Linked DNA regions of Arabidopsis thaliana. Each later gene encodes a partner of the first gene's protein in a complex. Each region holds a gene or a part of one and is shown in the gene's direction. Other genes may lie near its edges.

The links.
Region 2: TAF5 (region 1) and TAF6B share a complex: the UniProt entries of both Arabidopsis thaliana proteins name them as parts of the TFIID complex.
Region 3: TAF5 (region 1) and TAFII15 share a complex: the UniProt entries of both Arabidopsis thaliana proteins name them as parts of the TFIID complex.
Region 4: TAF5 (region 1) and HAF01 share a complex: the UniProt entries of both Arabidopsis thaliana proteins name them as parts of the TFIID complex.

What each region holds. Positions count from the first base shown.
Region 1 is NC_003076.8:8,675,343-8,682,868, forward strand, and holds TAF5 (TBP-associated factor 5), read left to right. Parts: upstream 1-1,706; 5' UTR 1,707-1,774; coding exon 1,775-1,950; intron 1,951-2,263; coding exon 2,264-2,345; intron 2,346-2,430; coding exon 2,431-2,509; intron 2,510-2,625; coding exon 2,626-2,723; intron 2,724-2,821; coding exon 2,822-2,878; intron 2,879-2,994; coding exon 2,995-3,082; intron 3,083-3,175; coding exon 3,176-3,285; intron 3,286-3,412; coding exon 3,413-3,520; intron 3,521-3,598; coding exon 3,599-3,750; intron 3,751-3,932; coding exon 3,933-4,043; intron 4,044-4,117; coding exon 4,118-4,187; intron 4,188-4,276; coding exon 4,277-4,313; intron 4,314-4,461; coding exon 4,462-4,617; intron 4,618-4,706; coding exon 4,707-4,783; intron 4,784-4,879; coding exon 4,880-4,996; intron 4,997-5,413; coding exon 5,414-5,679; intron 5,680-6,143; coding exon 6,144-6,239; intron 6,240-6,327; coding exon 6,328-6,400; coding exon of another isoform or gene 6,401-6,445; exon of another isoform or gene 6,446-6,659; coding exon 6,660-6,716; and 2 more. UniProt on the Arabidopsis thaliana protein: TAFs are components of the transcription factor IID (TFIID) complex that is essential for mediating regulation of RNA polymerase transcription.
Region 2 is NC_003070.9:20,288,967-20,293,673, forward strand, and holds TAF6B (TBP-ASSOCIATED FACTOR 6B), read left to right. Parts: upstream 1-1,633; coding exon 1,634-1,753; coding exon of another isoform or gene 1,754-1,822; coding exon 1,823-2,070; intron 2,071-2,157; coding exon 2,158-2,264; intron 2,265-2,335; coding exon 2,336-2,412; intron 2,413-2,491; coding exon 2,492-2,629; intron 2,630-2,721; coding exon 2,722-2,817; intron 2,818-2,913; coding exon 2,914-3,038; intron 3,039-3,121; coding exon 3,122-3,254; intron 3,255-3,464; coding exon 3,465-3,590; intron 3,591-3,694; coding exon 3,695-3,806; intron 3,807-3,895; coding exon 3,896-4,194; downstream 4,195-4,707. Other genes in the region: ABCD2 (ABC transporter family protein), read left to right, coding at 13-254, 332-608, 731-981, 1,070-1,279; NHX5 (sodium hydrogen exchanger 5), read right to left, coding at 4,387-4,474, 4,563-4,684. UniProt on the Arabidopsis thaliana protein: TAFs are components of the transcription factor IID (TFIID) complex that is essential for mediating regulation of RNA polymerase transcription. Not redundant with TAF6.
Region 3 is NC_003075.7:15,353,296-15,358,447, reverse strand, and holds TAFII15 (TBP-associated factor II 15), read left to right. Parts: upstream 1-2,016; 5' UTR 2,017-2,257; intron 2,258-2,277; exon of another isoform or gene 2,278-2,644; intron 2,645-2,707; exon of another isoform or gene 2,708-2,724; 5' UTR 2,725-2,743; coding exon 2,744-2,836; intron 2,837-2,932; coding exon 2,933-2,997; intron 2,998-3,398; coding exon 3,399-3,461; intron 3,462-3,646; coding exon 3,647-3,698; intron 3,699-3,792; coding exon 3,793-3,843; intron 3,844-4,144; coding exon 4,145-4,225; 3' UTR 4,226-4,401; coding exon of another isoform or gene 4,402-4,477; 3' UTR 4,478-4,528; coding exon of another isoform or gene 4,529-4,609; 3' UTR 4,610-4,652; downstream 4,653-5,152. Other genes in the region: AT4G31715 (uncharacterized protein), read right to left, coding at 4,402-4,477, 4,529-4,609, 4,746-4,789. UniProt on the Arabidopsis thaliana protein: TAFs are components of the transcription factor IID (TFIID) complex that is essential for mediating regulation of RNA polymerase transcription.
Region 4 is NC_003070.9:11,853,731-11,858,482, reverse strand, and holds the start of HAF01 (HAC13 protein (HAC13)), read left to right. Parts: upstream 1-1,717; 5' UTR 1,718-1,919; intron 1,920-2,131; 5' UTR 2,132-2,221; coding exon 2,222-2,267; intron 2,268-2,973; coding exon 2,974-3,077; intron 3,078-3,252; coding exon 3,253-3,315; intron 3,316-3,449; coding exon 3,450-3,495; intron 3,496-3,869; coding exon 3,870-4,124; intron 4,125-4,346; coding exon 4,347-4,438; intron 4,439-4,537; coding exon 4,538-4,709; intron 4,710-4,752. Other genes in the region: AT1G32760 (Glutaredoxin family protein), read right to left, coding at 1-232. UniProt on the Arabidopsis thaliana protein: TAFs are components of the transcription factor IID (TFIID) complex that is essential for mediating regulation of RNA polymerase transcription. Core scaffold of the TFIID complex.

The sequences.
Region 1 (7,526 bases):
GCAACAATACCCTTTCATGTTGTCCATTTTTAAAAATATCTCTCCCCTTGAACAAAATGACCAAATTACCCTCATCTAATAAAAACATGTAATTGGAAACTGAAATTTTCCCGCCAATTTTTTGGCGCCAAAATATTTTTTTTCCCGCCAAAAAAAAGTTTCCGCCAAACTTTTTTCCAACCAAAAAAAAAAATTCCCGCCAACAAAAAAATTTCCCGCCAAATTTTTTTTTCGTAAAAAATTTTTCCTCAGCCAAAAAAAATATTTTAAAAATCCTTGTAAATATTTTTTAGCGCCAAATAGATTTACAAGGGATTTTAAAAGGATTTTAAAAGATTTACAAGAGATTTTTAAAAAGTTTTAAAAAATTTACAAGAGATTTTAAAAGAGTTTTAAAAGATTTACAAGAGATTTTAAAAGAGTTTTAAAAGATTTACAAGTAATTTTAAAAGGTTTTAAAATCCCTTGTAAATCTTTCAAAACACTTTTAAACCCTTTAAAAATCTTTACAAATCCTATGTAAATATTTTAAAACCCTTTAAAATCCCTTGTAAATATTGTAAAACCCTTTTAAAATCCCTTGTAAATATTTTAAAATCCTTTTAAAACAATTTTAAACCCTTTAAAAATCTTTAAAAGACCTTTGTAAATCTTTTAAATCCCTTTAAAATCTCTTGTAAATCTTTTAAAACCCTTTTAAAAATCCCTTGTAAATCTTTTAAAAACCTTTTAAAATCCCTTGTAAATTACCCTTTTAAAATCCCTTGTAAATCTTATAAAACCCCTTTAAATTGCCTTGTAAATCTTTTAAAACTCTTTTAAAATTCCTTGTAAATCTATTTCCCGCCAAAAAAAAAAATTGACGGGAAAAATATTTTTGAAAACAAAATTTGGCGGGAAATGTTTTTCAAAAATTTTTGGTGGGAATTTTTTTCGAAAAGGTTTGGCGGGAAAATTTTGGCGGGAAATTTATTTTAGAATATTTTAGGCGAAAAAATATTAATATTTCATTTTGTTAACCTAAAACAATTTCCAAATAAGGGTAAAATGGTAATTAAAAATTTAAAGAGAATATAAATAAAAATGGATAAAACAAAAGGGTAGAGTTGAAAAGGGGCATCATGAAAAGGGCATTTGAAAGAATTTTTCTTGATTATTTGATATCCAAAATTTTATAATATATTTTTAGAAAACGAGTTAACCATTGTGGGAGGAAATAACTGACCTTGTCTTATATACAATAAATTGTTGCAAGTGTTTAGTTTAACCATTGTAACATTTGATTTAAGAATTATTGTTTAAATATTTTTAAACTGGGTGTTTTGGAAAGTTATTTTTTTTTTTAAATAAAAGTTAGAAATTTTGAGAAGATAACATTTTTTTGGATAATTTTCAATAATTCTGTAAGAATTAATTACTCAAACAATAAATATTGGTATCTTGTCCCAATCTTTAAGTTGAAATAGAGAATCCAAAGCAAGTAATTTAAAAAGAAAATGGTTATGAGATTTTACATCAAAGTAAGGTCATGGGCTTATAATTCAAAAACTCTTAGTAAATTTTGAATCTGGGCATTTGCCCAACCTGCCACCCCCATAGACGGGCCTGGTTTTAATCATAACTTTGAAATTATTATATTTGGGCCACAATTAGGCCATTGAAACAGGCCCAGTTTTGTAGAGACACGGAATCTAAAAAACTGAAGATGTTTCAGCGACGAGATACAAGTTTCTAGGAGAGGAAATTGAATCGAGAGAGAGAGAGAGAGACAACAATGGATCCAGAGCAAATCAACGAGTTCGTCGTGGGCTACTTGAAGAAGAAAGGATTCAGTAGCGCTGCTAAAGACCTTGAATCTTATCATCACCAGAACAATAATGGTAGCTCCTTCACTTCTGTCGATTATCATAACGATCCTGAGCTCACGAAGCTCATTCGCTCCTTTTCTCAGTAATCTCTCTCCCTATCTCTCTCTCTCGTTTCAATTCTTAATGCGAATTGTGTTTTGAATTTTTGGGAAAGTTTTAGTGTCTTTTGTGAATTTTGAAAACCGTAAGGAAAAATTATGTAAGCTCCAACGTTTTTGAGAATCTAAAAATGAATATAATTCACTTTCTGGGTGAAGTTTATGTGAATATTTCTATCAGTTTATCTGTCAAATTTAAGATTTTGATGACATCTCAGTGGCAAGAAATTAGGTTTTTTTGTATGGCTTATGTAGAGAGAGCTAATGGTAATGAAATGTCTGTTCTTTTGTTTGCAGACAAGAAGATGATCCAACTCGGTACCGTGAAGGTTACAGCAAACTAAGGTCATGGGCGTATAATTCTCTGGATTTATATAAGGTGGGGATTTTTTTTTGTGTATCCCTTGGCTGTTTTGGGTAGAGACAGGCTTAATTGAACTGACGAGATGATTCTAATTTTGTAGCATGAATTGCTTCGAGTGATGTATCCTGTGTTTATTCATTGTTACATGGATCTGGTGGGGAAAGGGCACACTCAAGAAGGTACTTGTCAATATAGCAAATTAGATGTACTGAGTATTTTTTTTACCTTCGGTATAAGATTTTTGGAAACAGTGACTTATGCTACTGTGGGAAATAATACGTCTCTTGTATTCCAGCTAGAGCCTTCTTTAACAGCTTCCGCAAAGATCATGAGATGGTACACTTACGGGATCTTCAGAAGCTTGAAGGCGTGCTTTCTCCATCTCATCTAGAGGTTTATGATAAACCTTATATGGTCATATAATATTGATAATGGATTTTTTTTTTTTTTTTTTTGGTTATTATCTTTCTTATGATCTTGGTTCTTATCAGGAGATGGAGTTTGCTCGTTCTCTTAGAAAAAGCAAGGTTAACATCAAGTTTTGTCAGGTAGACTTGAGTGAAAATTGACTAGTAGCTGTAATAGGCAACTGCTTCGAGGTTTCTGGTCTGATTAACTGAATTCCGTGACTGCAGACCTCTAATATGCTTACTGAATGTTGCAGTATTCATATGAGCTGTTACTTCAGTATCTACATAGTACAGTATCGACTTTAATGCTTGGTATTATTAACGAGCACATCAATTTCCAAGGTAAATGTGTTTCTTTCTCTTATATATGCGATAGCTTGTAGCAGTTTTTTGAGTAGAAAATTGAATCAATTGGTCATGGATAATTTGTTGCAGTCTACTCGGGACAGCCTACTTCCTCATCCGATGACATAGAAGCTGTCACCATTGTCGGGAGTTTTCAGGACACTGCTAATCACATTAATCAAAAAGAAATACAGTGGGGAGTACGTATTTCCCCTAAAGTTTCTTTTCTCTTCTATTTTTCCAGAGTTATAACATGTTGATGCCTCATCCCAGGGATGATAACATATTTGCGTAGTTAATAGCTACATATGCATTTTTCTTTTACAGTTGCTTGAAGATTCACTAGAAGATCGCCTTGAGAAGACAGGAGGTCTGCTGTCTGATTCTGAGAAGGGACAAGGAGAAAGTAAAGACGGGGATGCAGATGATAGTAAGGTGATACATAGCTTCAACTTAGTCAATAATTTCTGAACTGAAATCCCGTTTTTACTCGTCAATTGATTCTGTGTACAGAAAAGATCCACTGAAATTGGAAAGCAAGGCTCTTCCTTAAAAAAGTTGAAGAAGGACAAAGCGGGTAATGCAACAGCAAAAGTTGCACGTCTGGAGACCATTACGGTGTCACCGGCGCCGCGTGTAAAACCAGAACTTGCCTTGCCAGTAATGTACTTTCGAATCCCTTACCCATTTTTTGTGTTGGGATTTGATTAAAAAGGAATGAACATGTGATATCTATGGGTGATGCATGATTGTTTAGGAGAAATGAACATAGTCTTTGTATTTGTCAAAGACTCAACCTCCTTTAACATAAATCAATTTTGCTCCATCTCCTTGTTTTCTCTGTCAGGTCCACAGATGTAGAGCAATCCATCCTTGAAGACCTTAGAAACCGTGTGCAGTTGAGTAGTGTTGCAATGCCATCAGTCAGCTTTTATACATTTGTGAATACTCATAACGGGTAATGTCCACCTCTCCTCCTAATTTTAACTACTTATTTGCAACCTTGTTACTCACTCTTTTATTCTCCCCCAGGTTAAACTGTTCATCTATATCTCATGATGGATCTCTGGTTGCTGGTGGGTTCTCAGATTCTTCAATAAAGGTATGTTATTCTCGGATGGTTGGATACATTTCCCTTTTTTTGTTTTCTTCCTCTCTTAAATGATGCCAAGTGACAATTATGGTGTTCAGGTCTGGGACATGGCTAAGATAGGACAAGCTGGCAGTGGTATGTTAATTCTCTGAAAAATTGTATTGACATCCACGTTTAAGAATGATATTTATCTCATACGTTTCGCTTGTCATTTTTGTTGATTTCTCATAATGATTGTTTTTGTTTCCATGAGAGTTATAGACACTAAGCTGTCTGGTTCCAGGTGCTTTGCAGGCTGAAAATGATTCAAGTGATCAAAGCATAGGACCAAATGGCAGAAGAAGTTATACATTATTACTGGGTCATTCAGGGCCAGTTTACTCAGCCACTTTCAGTCCCCCTGGAGATTTTGTTCTATCTTCTTCAGCAGATACAACAAGTATGTATCTGTCCATCACTTTACAAATCCATACACTGGCTCATTAGTTCAGACTTTTTTAGTTACCAACCCTGTATTCATAAGTGCAGTACGACTGTGGAGCACAAAACTAAATGCTAATCTCGTGTGCTACAAGGGTCATAATTACCCTGTATGGGATGCCCAGGTATAGTTAATTCAATTTAACCCATGTTTCTTACATAACCTGCAATTTATGGTGGCTGGACATGTATATATATTATATACTCATTTTATGGTGCAGTTTAGCCCTTTCGGTCATTACTTTGCAAGCTGTTCTCATGATCGTACTGCACGGATTTGGTCAATGGACCGAATACAACCTCTTCGGATAATGGCAGGGCATCTATCTGATGTTGATGTGAGTGTCTCCCTCATCTTCATTGTTTGGGTTTAATTTGCAAAGGTTAAATCGAAGGGACCAATTGAGTTGTTAATTAAATGCATGGATAAATTTCTTAAAACGTTTTATTATGCAATTGAAGTCATTAATTCACCGTATCAATGTTTACAATGGTTTATCTAACATTTTACATTGTTTATTGACTTAGATTAGTACCCACTTGTTATTTTAACGTGACCCTGACATTCATAATTTAAGAATCGTCCAGTTTATAGTTGATCCAAAGATTGTTAGCCAATACGCTTAAAGTCATAAGGTTACGATGGATTACTTAACTATTTGGATTGACATTAAGTCAGATCAGTAACTTCAATTTTTCTTTGGATACCTATTGATGCGACTTTCGTTGTACTTGTCAAATGCATTTGATTTCAGTGTGTACAGTGGCATCCCAATTGTAACTACATTGCTACCGGTAGTAGTGATAAGACGGTTAGACTCTGGGATGTGCAAACTGGAGAATGTGTCCGGATATTCATTGGGCACAGGAGTATGGTTTTATCATTGGCGATGTCTCCAGATGGGAGATATATGGCTTCCGGTGATGAAGATGGCACTATAATGATGTGGGACCTCTCAACTGCTCGCTGCATCACTCCTCTCATGGGCCATAATTCATGTGTCTGGAGTCTCTCATACAGGTGAGGTGTCAAGAGAAGAAGAAAATAGCTTTATTTGATCATTCAACTTTTATTGAGTTAGTAATACACAATGAAAACGTAATATGATCCTTTTTTCAGCCAACTATTGGTTTTGGTTGATATGCTTTATCATCTCTGGAATTTCTTCTAGGACAACATTTTTTAAAGGGTAGTTCAGGGTTATGATATAGAGTGGTATGGTGTGGCTATTTCTATTAATTCTACAGTGACTTACTACTGAACTGGTAGATTTTTCTATATCCACGCACTCTTGTGTTAGCTCTAACATAGGGTTCTTGTCATGGGTTGTGGAATGTTGTATAGGCCTAATGTGTTGGGTCGTTAATGGAATGACTGGTTTTGGTTGGTAAAATCCACTTGCTTGGAATATTGGAACCGTAAACTCCACTTTGATAAATCATAGAACTACTACAATTTATGACTAACCTGTTTTCCTGTTTCAGCGGGGAGGGCTCTCTTCTGGCTTCTGGATCCGCAGACTGCACAGTGAAACTGTGGGACGTCACTTCAAGTACCAAATTGACAAAGGCCGAGGAAAAGTGAGTTTGCTCTTTCAAGTTGTATTGTTGTTCCCTTTGAATGGTAGATTGTTTTGTTAAAAACGATTTATCATTTGTGATTGATCAGGAATGGAAACTCGAACAGATTGCGCTCACTCAGGACTTTCCCCACCAAGTCCACACCAGTTCACGCTCTCCGGGTAAGTTATGCTTTCTTTACTAGAATTAATTCCACCATTCTCTAAACACCGTGGTATTTCTCTCATCCCTAAGTTTATCATGTTGTGCTTGTGATCAACACATCCCGATAATGAGTGACCAAACACTTGATTAGAACCAAAGTTTCAGGGTGTGTGCCAAACAGATTTTATCCATCAGTATCATATAGAACCTTTCCTCTAACACCTAGGATTCGTTGATCGAGGCATACACTAAAACTCATGTTTTACATTGATGCAGTTTTCTCGGAGAAATTTGTTGTTTGCTGCAGGAGCGATCTCTAAACCCGCAAACTGATCAAAACAATGGTATCAGATATTGATGCTTTAACATTCTTACAAGCTGTTGTAGATCTCAGAAGAAATCAGGTGTAGAATAGTTATCTCCAAAGATTATTTGCTTGTGGCTTTTGTTTCTCATTTCTAAATCCCAAAAATGTTGAAGATTCTTTTAATGAACAACTACTCCTGCTTATGTATGCCATGTGTCCCAATCCAGGAATCACTTATCTTCGACTTGGAGCAGATTTACTTTAAGCATGTCAAAGCCACATTCTTCCTTCTAATAAACACCCTAGTTTAAGCATGTCACCTCTATCATGAATCAAAACCTACTCGAAATGAATAAGGCAAAGAACAACAACCAAATATTCTCAAAATTTATAACGTTAATAAAATAGAAACATGTAATGAATCTCCCCAAAAAGACATCGTGTGTCGAGAGAAATCTTTCTTAAGACAGGGTGGGTGGTTATGTGGTATGTTGTGAATTATGTTTTTTCTTAGAGAACATATTTTTTAGAAACTTTTCAGATACTAACATATTTTTTATTTTGTGAAAACATTTAATTCTCCTAATTTCTAGAGACGGTACTTAAATAAATAGAGAGCTGACGACAAAAATAAAATAAAATTGAGAGCTGAAGAAGAAAAGAAAGAAAAAAACATGTTTTGAAAGACATTTGCATCAAAATTTTGGATGAGACATAAAATCTACCAAAAGTAGATTTGGTTGTGTGACTAGACAATTGTCTACATTTGGAATTATATGTGGGAATGTGGTACTCGTTATCTTCTTATATGAGATCTCTCCCGGTCAGTTTTCTCA
Region 2 (4,707 bases), on another chromosome or scaffold:
CTTCCAACACAGGTGAATTTGATGATCTTTTGGATAACAACATCTTCAGAGATCCATCTGACACTGTGGACGAGATTGAGCTGACATATCAGAGTGAGATGAACTCTTCACTGCTGGACACCAATGGTTCAATCAAGTCCCAACCGAACCAAAAGCGTCTGGAGATCGAGGAGCTTACTCTTCAGACACCAACAAACGGAACCACATTGGTTCACAACTTATCTGCAGATGTATATGACAAGGATCACCTACTGGTTAGTTCACTTTGACTACTTGTGTTTAAAGCATGTGACTGGTAGATTGGAAGTTACTTAAAAATGCCATTTAACAGATAATGGGTCCTAGTGGGAGTGGAAAAACTTCGCTGCTAAGAGCAATGGCTGGTCTTTGGAGGTCAGGGAAAGGAAAAATCACGTTCTACCTCGATCCTGAGGTAGATTTTACACAGGAGAAATCTGATACTCAGGAAAATTCAGGGAAAAGAGGAGACGTATTGTTCCTTCCACAAAGGCCTTATATGGTTCTGGGATCTTTGCGTCAGCAATTGCTTTATCCTACCTGGAGTGCAACTGTGGAGGAGACGACACCTGGTGGCAGTAATATTGACGGTACTCAGTTTAAATTTGTGTCTAGTAACAACCATTTCTTTCAACTCCATTTAAGTTTATGCAAGCAGATTATAGAACCCAAAAGCAAATCGACTGAAGAAAAAATGCGTTGATTTTGTTAGGTTCACCACCTCTGCTGATTAGAGAGGACGGAAATGAAAAGCCGACAACAGATGATCTGATGCGGACTCTAGAGAAGGTTTGTCTTGGACATATAGCGGATCGCTTTGGTGGTCTTGATTCGATACACGAGTGGTCCAGTGTTCTCTCACTTGGTGAGCAGCAGCGCCTTGCCTTTGCACGGTTATTGCTGTCTCAGCCAAAGCTGGCGCTCCTGGATGAATCCACCAGTGCGTTGGATGAAGCTAATGAGGTACTTGTTGGTTCTCCTCTCATCTATCATTTAGAATAATATCATGTACATGTAGCGTTGAGCCATTAAAATTCCTCTTGATGCCCAGGCGTTCCTGTACCAGCAAATCCAGTCGGCTGGCATTACATATATAAGCATTGGCCACCGCCGGACTTTAACGAAATTCCATAACAAGATCTTACAAATCTCAACGGCAGACCCGAAGAGCAATGAACGTAACTGGCGAATAGAGGACGTGGATGCCCAAGATTCTTTGTACGGTAGATTGAATCAAAAGGAGGTGCCAAGTGAAAGCTGATCAAAACCTGATTGATTACATAAGAGACAGAAGCAGCAGGTAAATCTGCAAACGGGTGTCATGAAACATATAAGAAACATGTTTGGTGTCCATTTTGTATATAATCTACCAGACTTGACGTTGACTGAAGATGCAAGTAAATAGAGAGATTGATACAGATACGAGTGCAACGAAGTTCTGATTAAAAATAACACGCGAGATGAGCTAAAAATTCAAAACCGGCTGAGTATTTATCATAAGCCCAATAAATCTAACGATGGGCCCATTTGAGAAAGCCTGATAGAGTGAGAAAATGTAACACGACTGACTCGACTCAGTCGCTCAAAGTCGAAAAAGAAAGAAGGCGCAAGGAGGATGGTGACGAAAGAATCCATTGAAGTGATAGCTCAGAGCATTGGACTCTCCACTCTTTCTCCGGACGTCTCAGCCGCTCTTGCTCCCGATGTCGAGTATCGCGTCCGAGAGGTCATGCAGGTATATCATCAACTTCAACTTTACTTTTGCCCTCTAATCTCCTCTTTAACTTGTCGTCGCAATCTCCAGGAAGCTATCAAATGCATGCGTCATGCTCGACGCACCACTTTAATGGCTCATGATGTCGATTCTGCTCTTCATTTCAGGAATTTGGAGGTTTCCTCTTCCTCTCTTCTTCTTTTATTTCATACCGTTGACCCTGATTTTGACTTTTTTTTGTATAGCCTACCTCTGGCTCCAAAAGTATGCGGTTCAAGAGAGCTCCTGAGAACAGAGATCTATACTTCTTCGATGACAAAGATGTCGAGCTCAAGAATGTAAGCTTCATTGATTGGCCATGAATGAAGAAGATGGTGAAATGTTGTTTATTGTTATTAAGCTTCCCTTCATGGTCTCTTGTGCAGGTTATCGAAGCTCCTCTACCAAATGCACCTCCTGATGCATCTGTTTTCTCATTGGTTGGCAATTGATGGTATTCAACCTTCCATTCCACAGAATTCTCCTCTCCAAGGTATTTCTTTTGTCTTCTTTTGCATCACCTACTACTTCTCCTTCTAATCCCTCTTCCATGACAATTTGTAGCCATATCTGACCTTAAACGATCGGAATATAAGGACGATGGCTTGGCTGCTAGACAGGTGCTTTCTAAGGACCTTCAGGTTATTTTACTCCCTTCTTTTTTTGGGTCTTTACCTCGCTCTTTGAATGCTATATAATCCTTGCTTGCTCTCGATGCAGATTTACTTTGACAAAGTCACGGAGTGGGCTTTGACTCAATCTGGCTCCACCCTCTTTAGACAAGCACTCGCCAGCTTGGAAATTGATCCTGGACTCCACCCATTAGTTCCCTTTTTCACTTCTTTCATCGCTGAAGAGGTTTGTCTTTGTAATCCAACACTTCTAGTCTTGACTTTTATTCTAACTTGACCACATTTTCACTACTTTTTTTGTGCTTGCAATTTCTCCAGATTGTCAAAAACATGGATAATTATCCAATCTTGTTGGCTTTGATGCGTCTTGCTAGAAGCCTCCTTCATAACCCTCATGTACATATTGAGCCATATGTAAGTTTTGTGCGCACACTTTTTTTTTGTTTTTTTTTGTTTCTCTTCTCCCTTCTCCTCCTTCTGTTGACTTTTAACTTGTTGTATTCTGTTCAGCTGCATCAGTTGATGCCGTCTATTATCACTTGCCTTATTGCCAAGCGCTTAGGAAGAAGGTCATCTGATAATCACTGGGACTTGAGAAACTTCACTGCCAGCACAGTTGCTTCAACGTGCAAAAGGTTAATGTTACATTCTTGCTTTGTGATTTCATGCATCTTATACAACCATATAACTTGCAATCACATTAGTGAACTTTTTACAGGTTTGGACACGTTTATCACAATTTGTTGCCACGTGTCACAAGATCACTGCTTCATACCTTTTTGGACCCAACCAAGGCACTCCCACAACACTATGGGGCAATTCAAGGGATGGTAGCCCTTGGGCTTAATATGGTACTTCCTCTTGATGCTTCTTGATTATCATAACGAAGAGTAGCACTTTAGGTTGTGCGTCTAGAATTTTTACATAAGAAAGCATAAGTTTAAAACTAATAGTAGCATGATCCGACATCCTCGATAAAGTTATTAAACCTGCAATTGAACCTTAAGATATATATCCTTTGGTCGTCCGTAAGTATTTTCTTGCTTTATACCTTTGTCTAGGTTCGCTTTCTTGTTCTCCCAAACCTAGGGCCGTATTTGCTGCTTCTTTTACCTGAAATGGGACTTGAGAAGCAGAAGGAAGAAGCTAAGAGGCATGGGGCTTGGCTTGTTTATGGAGCGTTGATGGTGAGTATGCTTTCTAGTTTGATACAGAAATTAGAAAACTTGTTTGCTTTCAATCTCGTGTTGCAAAACAGGCAGGAGAGCATATAAACTTTAACTTTCCATAGGTGGCAGCTGGTCGATGCCTATATGAACGGCTTAAAACATCTGAGACACTGCTGTCTCCTCCAACTAGCTCTGTCTGGAAGACAAATGGAAAGCTCACCAGCCCCAGGCAAAGTATAAAATCTGGTCTCATTCTTTTTTTTTCTTTTGGCGTTCTAAACACGGAGATACGCGTTCTTAAATAATTTTTTTCTTCGGCCAAGGTAAACGCAAAGCAAGCAGTGACAACTTAACTCATCAACCACCACTGAAGAAGATAGCAGTAGGGGGAATTATACAAATGAGCTCCACACAAATGCAGATGCGCGGAACCACAACAGTCCCTCAACAGTCCCACACAGATGCAGATGCACGGCACCACAATAGTCCCTCAACAATTGCTCCGAAGACTTCAGCTGCTGCAGGCACTGACGTCGACAACTATCTCTTTCCTCTTTTTGAGTATTTTGGTGAGAGCATGCTTATGTTCACCCCCACACATGAGCTCAGTTTCTTCTTGTAATAGATTATTGACATGGTAATTGTATGTACCACAATAAATACATCTATATAATATTTCGAAATGTCTTGGAAATCGTCAACTTTATAGTGGGCATTTTGCGAGAGGTAAAATCAACCAGTGTTAATCTTACATAGACATATGTGTACTCTAATTATAGCTTGGCCTGGACCACAAATACACATCTTTTCCATGCTACTCCCCATCTCCATCTCCATCTCCACTATTAGTTGTGAAGAACGGAGTCAGAAAGTTTTTGTCCAACGCGGTGAATGATGTAGTGCTGCAAAGTTTTGTCAAGTGAGTCCCAAAAAATTGCAAATATCGCTTTTTACTCAGGAAAACATACTAAGCCATTCTCTTATTCTTACGTTTTGTGAAACTCCTTCAGCTTCATCTTGAACCTGCTTCCTGATGATGATGTATCCTCGTCAGATGAAGCTCCAATGCTAAAAGGAGGAGGGACATACTGATGATCGCTCTCTTCAAAGCCCTAACCACGTATCTGGGAGCGTT
Region 3 (5,152 bases), on another chromosome or scaffold:
ACTTTATCATAAGTAATCTAGTTAATTGAAGATTAGCGACAAAAATATGATATTAAATTGGATGGGAGAAAACATATATTTAATTAAGCAAACGAACATATTCGCAACTTGAGTTTTTGGGGGGTGTTTGGTGACGTACAAACTTCTCTTCTTCTAGATAAGGAACTATGCACTACAAATTTTCTTAATTATGCACCACAAATTTTCTAAAGTACGATTAAAAAAGAGGAAATCTAAAGCCAAAGTAGTAATCAACCCTACAACAACACATGAGTCACGACTTTCAGTTAACTACAATTATACAAATATTACTTGATTAAGTGGTGTTATCTTAACTAGTGTAATGTATGTTTGAAATTAATAAAGTCCATCTACAAACCATTTTATCAAAACAAAAAATCCATCAAGCAAATTGAAGCCACTCTTATAGCCGACTAACCGTACCTACAAATTTTCTGTTTCAAACTTATGCATATCTATATGGGTGCTTATGATACTTCCTATTAAATTTAATAAAATTAGTAAAAATTTCCCTACCATATATCATATTATTATTTTTTCGATCCAAGAAAGTTACTTTTTAAAATAGTTTTCTATTTTGTGACACTTCTAAAATATTATAAGTGTATAGCCATTTTTCCCCAAACAAGGAATAGTCTATCAGTCTATACAGTATACACACGATTTATTTGCAAAGAACCTACATACACAATTTCTCTTCTACCATGTTAGATTTTTAGTACTTGTTTTACTAGATTATGTATTTTTGTTTGTCTATCGGTCTTTTAATTTTCACTTGCTGGAGGTAAATAATGAAGGAAGTAGTTAAAAATTGAGATAACATAGTTGTGTAGAAATTAGAATACAGTGCAGAACTTAAAAGTATGGTTACGATCACATTGACAACAGTCGATATTCCATTGAGATCACATGAACATTGCTTCGTTAGAAATGCTCGTCGATCGCCTGAAGTAAACCGATTTGATTGGCCACCATGTTTTGCCTCTTCCTGATTTCATTGATATATTTTATTTTTCTTTACTATTTTAAACAACAAAAAAATTTAGAATCCGTATTCCAAAAGTAAATTAAATTTTTGCATACAATTTTTCTTTTTCTTTAAAATATCTAGGTTTTAATATAATATTCCATAATTTGATGAAAAGAATTAAAGAGAAAGTTCAAATCAATCCATATAGCTTGTCCTAGCCTATAGCCAAAAATATTCCTATGCCGCGATTGAACAACCGTTTTTTAAAAATCGTCAAATTAAATCAAACCTTTTTCCATGACAATGAGACTTGGATATAGTTTACATTAGATTCTGATTGGCCCCTTTGATATAACTAGGTAAACTAGCTTCTTGAATAAACTGTCTCTTATTTTGGTTTTATACAAAAAAAAAAAAGCTTTTGGAAAATGATTTAAATGTAAATACATAATACGTAGCGTCTAAGAAGCATATTTGAGAAAATATGGATTTATTTATCTGGTATTTATCCATTAATTTACCTACAAATGGAATCCACCATTAACCAAAAACAAACAAACAAATGGAATCCCGTGAAATAAAGTATCATCATATACATATCTCTCTTTTATGTTTTTATGGAGAGAATTAGTCCAATCCTTCTTCACTGAATTTACCACCTGCTTCTCGTAGAATATATAAAACTACCCTTAAGTCTTTTTCTAATGACTATGAGTTGACAAATGAGAAAAACAAAAACTGCTTTTGTTGGTCATTAAATATTCCGTCTAGATGGAGTTAGTGCTTTCATTGTCATATTCTTTGTCTCCCATCAAATTAAAGCTCACTATACAGCAGATTGTACAACACTATACACTAAAGTTACATTTTTGAGATTTTATTGATTGACAATTTCGTTTCGATATTCTTAGATACACTAAACTCAAATATTGATTTTATGGGAAGAGAATAAAAAATGGATTGTGAAAAAGGAAAAAAAAAAACCTAAATTTGGGCCATATGTGAAGAATACTTCCTTAAGTTTGGGCCATAGTTTAAATCAATAGGCCCATTAGTCTATCTAACGATTCTTTCTCAACTCTTAAAAATCTGACCGGCGGAGATGGCTCTGAGTTGGACCAGTCGGAGGATTAGGGTTTCAACGGAGACTCACTAGTCGATCTCCGATCCTTTCTTCTACCCGCCCGAAATCCGTCGAAACTTCTCTTCTTTACCATTGATTTGCCTCGTCTCAGCTCAATTCTCTTCCGTTGCTGCTTCGTTTAGGTTCGCATTATCGCTTACTTTATTGAATTTTTCCTCTATGTCTCTGGTTTCAATTTCAGCTCAATTTTGTCTTTTTTTCGGTTGAATTTTCTCTTGGGTGGTATCGAATTTTGCTCATGAATGCTGTTTCTTGATGAATCAGAGCCCTCTTAGTTTACTTCACGTCGTTCAATTCAAAACTTGGTGTGGTCTTTTGCAACACAAATCAGGAATAGTTCGTTACTTAGAAACAATAATGTCATACGAGAAGACAAATCTGGAACAGAGAATTAGTAAATTGAGCTGGAAAGTTTCAGTAGTCAAAATTCTCGTAAAACTTATTTTGGTATAATTGTGTCATGAGTCATGACATTCTTTCTTAGGTTTCGTACAAGTTTCTAATTTGAGGTAGATACTAGTTCAGAGGTTCTTTATTAATGTTTGATTTTGAAAACCTTTCTTTACTTACAGTTGTTGCTTCGCTTCAGTACTCTGGTGGTGGGAGAGATGAATCACGGCCAACAATCTGGTGAGGCAAAGCATGAAGATGATGCTGCTCTTACAGAGTTCCTTGCTTCTCTGATGGATTATACTCCTACTGTATACTTTCCTTTGTACTAGTTACAACTTTTTCTCGGCTCTACATGACTGAAATTTGGGTATTGATTGAGTTCTGGATTTTTATTTTTCTTTCAGATTCCTGATGATTTAGTGGAGCACTACTTGGCTAAGAGTGGATTTCAGTGCCCCGACGTACGATTGTAGGTATTTCCGACAAGTTATATCTGATACTTACAATGAAAGAGCAGATAAGTTGATATTGAATGGAATCATTGTTGGGTCTTAGAATGGGTGACCAGTAGTTAGATCAATGGCTTGGTTTAAATCATTTTGGATTAAGGTTTTGCCCTGTTTAACATTCCTGTAAAATGGTATGATAAAGAAGTCTATGTTGGACTAGCACTGAAAAAGATTGGCAATTTGAATGTAAACTTCAGAGTTCAGTTTGAATGCGTAGAATAATGAGGGGATTCTTCTCTTTCTATCAAATTGAGTGCTGAATATTGGTATATTTTAGTTTTTGAGTTTTTCACTCCTGTCATAATCTTTTCCTGTATCTATTCTTGCCAATATTCTGTTTTTTTGTTTACTTGTTTGACAGGATAAGGCTAGTTGCTGTGGCTACACAAAAGTTTGTTGCAGATGTTGCCAGTGACGCCCTTCAGTAAGTTTTCATTCTCTTCACAACGAATTATCATACCCTTTTTCATATTTGACTTGTAATTGAGAAAGAGAAGACACTGCCCATTCTGAGTAGATGAGATGAAAAGATGTCTACGCTAGATTTTCCCAGAAGCTAAAAGCATTGATATAAGCTCCTGAATAATAAAAATTGTCAATTATATACAGGCATTGCAAGGCTAGACCAGCACCAGTTGTGAAAGACAAAAAACAGCAAAAGGTAACATCTGACTCCCTTTTGTTTTTTTTCCCTCTGCAAGACTGCAACAAATATGTTTTGGATGATGACATGAATATTAATGTTTCCTTAACAGGATAAGCGTTTGGTATTGACAATGGAAGATCTTTCAAAAGCTTTGCGTGAGGTAAATGCTTCTTCCTCTAAGTTCATGCTTCTGGTATTGTTGTCCCTCAGACCTCCAATGTATGAGAAGAAAATGTAGATGTCTCTTGTTTTTTTTTACTTAAGCTGCAAATTACTCTAAATACACATGGCATGAAACTAATTCAGTATCACAGAATCAACATAAAATGCTTAGAAACATGTTTTAGAGTTAGTGGTTATAATATTGTGTATTGCAGTAGTGTAGGTAGATAGGTAAGGTTTTACAGTCTCGTCTTAACTAGTAGTGGGAAGCTAACTCGTGAGTAAACTCGGTTTGGCAGTATGGTGTGAACGTGAAGCATCCAGAATATTTTGCTGATAGCCCTTCGACTGGAATGGACCCTGCAACAAGGGACGAATAGAAACCAGGAATTCCTCAAAATCTTTGCCTAGTAAGGACGGTCATGTGTCTCAGATCCCTGATTCTCTGTTGTGTTTCAGTTAAAAACAAAACTCACTTGTCTTGCTAGTCCTCAATTACTACATTACATGTATATTCGTTTGTTGTTTGTTCTCTGGTGATTTTTGGGGTTCTACATCACTTATCCACCATTCTTGCAAGTCTCCAAGTCGTGAAAATAAGATAAGTATCCATCCTTGTGATTAACTGGATACTGTAGGATTGAAAAACCACAAAGTATATTTTCCATCTAGCAATGATGAACCTAAGTGCTTCTGATCTAACTTGAAACATTGCCACACTCTGTTGTATACCTTTAGACAATCCCCCTTTGTAACCGCGGCATCTCAATAATAAAGTTACTTTTTGGAATTTAGCAATTGAAAAAAGCTGTTCTGTTTTGTTTTTTCACTTTCTCATGTCCGAATATTCTTTACCTAGAAATACATGAAAGAAGACAACAATCTGAAAAATCTAGTAACCTTTCGTCAGCTTTTACAACGCTACATTGAAGACAAGAACACATTGGTTTTTTCATCACAAAGAAAGTTGAAGATTCTTGAGTTTTTTTCCTCCTGAATTGTTTGAAATGGTGAATCCTCCACTTCAGTCTCCGACCAATCCGCATTTCTTCCAGCCACTACTTCCCGGTTTCGAGTGTCACCTCGTACACACTCTCTCTGTCTCTCTCTGTTTCTGTCTTTCTTTCAGAGTCGGTTTTGTTTTAAATGTTTTGAGGCTGAAAAGTTAAGGTAAGTTTCAAGTTTTTTATATGACATAGGTACTTGTGGTTTCTGAGCACATTCTCCTTATATGTATACAGGACCATAAACGTTGTCTGGAATGATTCTATATGCCGACTTTTTGTCTGTAATATGTAAAGTCTCTG
Region 4 (4,752 bases), on another chromosome or scaffold:
CCTTACCGTTGATAGTGAATCTCTCAGGCGGAGTCATTGGCGTGATAACGGATTTGGCGGAGGAGGAGGAGGAAGGAGACGGAGGAGAAGGTGAAGAAGAGTCGAGATTGAGAAGACCGTAAGTGGTGGAAGTTAGCTTGACGAAATGTTGGCTTAAGGAGGAGCTGGTGAGGTGAGAGAAGCTGCTGTCATCGGTCGGAGTAAGGAGGTTGGAGGAGACGCAACCACCCATCGCCGGAGATTTCGAGGATTAAGCAACGTCGGAGAAAAAATGAATCACGGAGATTGAGTGAAAGAGAGACGGTGAAGTGAGATTAAAGACAAAATAACATAAAACTGCTAATTAGATAAAACTTGTTTATATAAATACAATTTTTCTAAAGTTGGGAAGTGACAATGCACGTGGCTTTGGTGTTCTTTTTAATCCATATTTTTCGTTGAATAAAGAATTCTTTTTTCTTAACAAAATATTTGAGATATTTGTTTTGTTTGATTTTACGTTAATAAAAAAGAGAAAATACAAGGCTTAATTTTAGAACTAGGATTTAGAATCAGGACCACTATTTGGTTGGAGTATAAGGAACAGAAATTGATTTTGATAATTTCGTTAGAAGGAGATAGAGACATTTAACAAGTCAACAAAGTTCATGATGGTTATGGTAAAAATAAAAATAAATTCCTTGTTTAGGTTAAACTAAATAAAGAAAAAATTGCTTGTTGAGGTACATTTGAAAATGTTGAGGTACAATTGTTGAATGGATAATGAATTTTATAAAATCTAATAAGGTAATATTGAATCAATGATTTGGTATGATTATACCATGTTCTTCTTGTATTGGTCGTTGCGATTAAATTTGATGACTAAAAATTAAAGAACGAAATGAGAAATAAATGGCATAATTTATTATAAAATTCGTTGCTGGTTGTTCAAAACTGACAATGGAAGAAAAGCTGGATTATGTTCATTTAGGCCGCTATATTTTTCACGACTCCTACGTTGTTAGATCAATATCTCTATTTTTTCCAACGACACTTCTATTTTTTCAGCGACATCTCCGATCTGTCTATATGGATCATTTTACTTTATTTTTTTTAACGGCTACTGCCGTTTTACTTCGTCATAGTTACCGACGCAGTGGTCCATAAAATAAAAGAACCTATATATTTTCTTAATATCCATTTTTATTCAATCTGGTTTTATTTAATATTAAATTTTTTTATATAATTAAAATCAACATGTTATTGATTTTTATATATGTACAAGGTATGCAATAAAGAGTTTCACATCCGATGTTATTCGATGAAAAAAATAAAACTATCAATTAAACTTGTGTGCCTTAAATTTGGATATTAGAATGTTAGTCGATCGAAAAAATAAAATTAAAGTGATTAAAATATTATTAAAAATTGAAAATTTAAATGTAGAACTATAACAGTTATGTTTTTATAATACTTTTAAAATTCAATTTTCTTTTGCAATTTTGGTAGAAAGATATTTTAAAGAAATATCATAGGTATATATCTATTAAATTCGTAAAATTACCACTGATTAAACAACAACAAAAATTACTTCAGAACCGACTCTATTTCTGCTTAACCACCTCCATACCAAACAACGAAATTGATTTTTCCTGGTTAAGAAATTAGACCCGGACTCAAACTTTATTCGGGTCGGGTTATAAAACTTTTATAAATGCCCTCACAATCTTGTCTTGGTCGCTTCGCAATTTTCTTCTTTTTTTTGTTATTACTTTTTTTTTTCCTCCGATTTGAGAGTTTGCTTACCTCGGAACTTCTCTCCGACATCGTACCGTCTCGTCCGATTGAGCTGGTTTACCTTTCCGGCGAAGCTTACTTGTACCCTCAATTAGGGTTTCAAGAAAGAACCCTCCAATCCAACAATCTCGTATCAGTGAATGGTATCGTATCGTCTTCTTCAATTTTATCCAATGCTTTGATTGCAACTCAGCTTAACTCGAAAATTGATCAATGGGGTTTCGATTTGGTTGTGATTTTAAAGCCAAATTGAGACTCTTTTGATGAAGTTTCAGATAAAGAAGTTAGCTTTTTTTGTTTCCAGGTCCGTTTAGGTTGGCTTGTAATTGTGTAGTTTTTTTTGTTTCTTTTGAAGGTTTTGATTGAGTTTTAATGGTTGGGGATTTGGGAAGGACAATTGCCTTGTCGTCTCCCGATTGTCACCATTGTAGTTAAATCTTTGAATATGGCTGAATCCAATGGCAAGGGTTCCCACAACGAGACTTCCTCAGGTATATATATGTTGCTTTCTTTATCAAAGTTTGTTGCTTTTCTTTTTTCCGGTCCAGTCCATTGTCGACATGATTTCTGAAACTGGAGATGCCCCTGTCTAGCTTATGATTGTTCTACGGTTTTGAATATTTCGGATTAAGTCTCTTTAAGTAGAAAAGGAACAGCCTTGAGTGATTCTGAGTATTGGTTTGTAGGATCTTAATTGACAAAGAGATTGGAAATATTAGGTTGTGGAATTTTGGATTACTACAGTTTGTGAAACTAGAGATGTCCCTGTCTAGCTAGTGTTTGGTGCATTTAGGCTAGCTCATGACCGATTTACGGTTTTGAATATTTTGGATTTCTTTAAGTAGAAAAGGAGCAGTCTTGAGTGATCCTGGACATGTTCTAGGGTATAGTTAAGATTATTTTTTCTAAATTTCTAGAGGGAATTGAGTTTGTAGGATCTTAGATGACGAAGAGAATGGGAATAGTAGTTTCACTAGATGGAGGCTACTGTAGCCTGATAAGATGATGGAGAGGAATCCAATGATTATGTGACCTTGGATTTAGCAGTTTAACAAGAGTGTTAACATGCAATCTTTGTGATTTCTGAATACTCGTGATGATAATCAGTTATCACATGCATTCCCATTTTACACCAATATTTTACATGTCTGCCAAGATTTGTTTGGTGAACACCAATATTTTACATGTCTGCTGCAGATGACGATGATGAATATGAGGACAACAGCAGGGGTTTTAACCTTGGATTCATCTTTGGAAATGTTGATAACTCTGGGGACTTGGACGCTGATTACCTTGATGAGGTAATCTGTTTTACGCTTTCAGTATGATGACCTTGTTGAACACATTATTTTCATTATCGGTCTCAGTTTTTCTGTCTATTCTCTCTGGACTTAGGATATATGTATTTTATTAACTATGAGTTGCAAATTCTCCACCAAGCATACCTGTGCCAATGCTAACATTTAAACTTTTCAGGACGCCAAAGAACATCTTTCTGCATTGGCAGATAAGCTGGGTTCATCTCTACCAGATATAAATGTAACGTTCTACACACTCTTTAATATTTTATCTTCTAAAGTTTATAGACGAGTGAACTGCGAGTCTTTTATGTGGTTTTTAATCCTCTTTTTCTTGTACTGGGATGCCAATAATGGTGTTTCTAAACTCAACAGTTATTGGCAAAATCAGAACGTACAGCAAGTGATCCAGCTGAGCAAGGTGATGTTGTCTGCCAGGGTCGTCTATCTTATGCAGTTTTTATTGTTCATTTAACTTCTAGTTTTCATTCTACCGTTTCTTTAAACCATACTGGAGTAGCTTCTAGGAAACCTGCTAGAAAGTTTTTCTCCCAGTGAATGTTTCCATCACAATGGTCTTGCACTCTTCTTACTTTCGTTGTAGTCATAATCCAATTATTATTGGATTGTTTAAGAAAGTGTCTTGCGTAATTTATATGCATAAACATTTTAACTACTCACGTTTACAATCTTTAAATATGCAACATTCCTGCCCGTAGCATTTACATACTGACACTATTTACACTACCAAATCCTGGTCATCAGCGTCATTGACTGTGGTGATATGTTGTGTAGATTATGATAGAAAAGCTGAGGATGCTGTTGATTATGAGGATATTGATGAAGAGTACGATGGGCCCGAAGTTCAAGTAGTCAGTGAGGAAGATCATCTACTGCCAAAAAAGGAGTATTTTTCGACTGCAGTTGCTTTGGGTAGTTTAAAGTCCAGAGCTTCTGTGTTTGATGATGAAGATTATGACGAGGAAGAAGAACAAGAGGAGGAGCAAGCGCCAGTTGAAAAATCTCTTGAAACTGAAAAGAGGGAACCAGGTTTGCATTTCGAAATTTCCGTTTCTTGAACAAAACAATTATCCCATAGTAAAGTGTACTTTTGTTGTGTTATCTCATCACTCAAATTGGTTTTGTTAAGTCATTCTTCCTGTAATTATACTTGTTGAGCTCAGGCAAATGATTACTTGCAAAGCTGTAGTCTAGTGTGATTTAAGTCCTTGAGAATATAAACTTAACAAGACAAAAAAAATTGCGTTGCAGTTGTCTTAAAGGAAGACAAGGCCTTGGAGTATGAAGAGGAGGCTAGCATCTTGGATAAAGAGGATCATATGGACACCGAAGATGTCCAGGAGGTCAGTTTCCCCTCAAAATAAAGGGAAATTGTGTCTCAAATAACATATTTTTGCTGTGGGATGATTTTGTTATGTTAGTGATCTCATCAAAACATTCAGGAGGAGGTGGATGAGTTATTGGAAGGTACATTGGATGACAAAGGCGCCACCCCACTGCCTACGTTGTATGTGGAAGATGGTATGGTTATCTTACAGTTCTCCGAGATATTTGCTATCCATGAGCCTCCACAGAAACGGGATAGGAGAGAAAATAGATATGTCACTTGTAGAGGTATGTGATCTGGAATGTTCTTCCTCTTTTTGTTTCTTCTCGA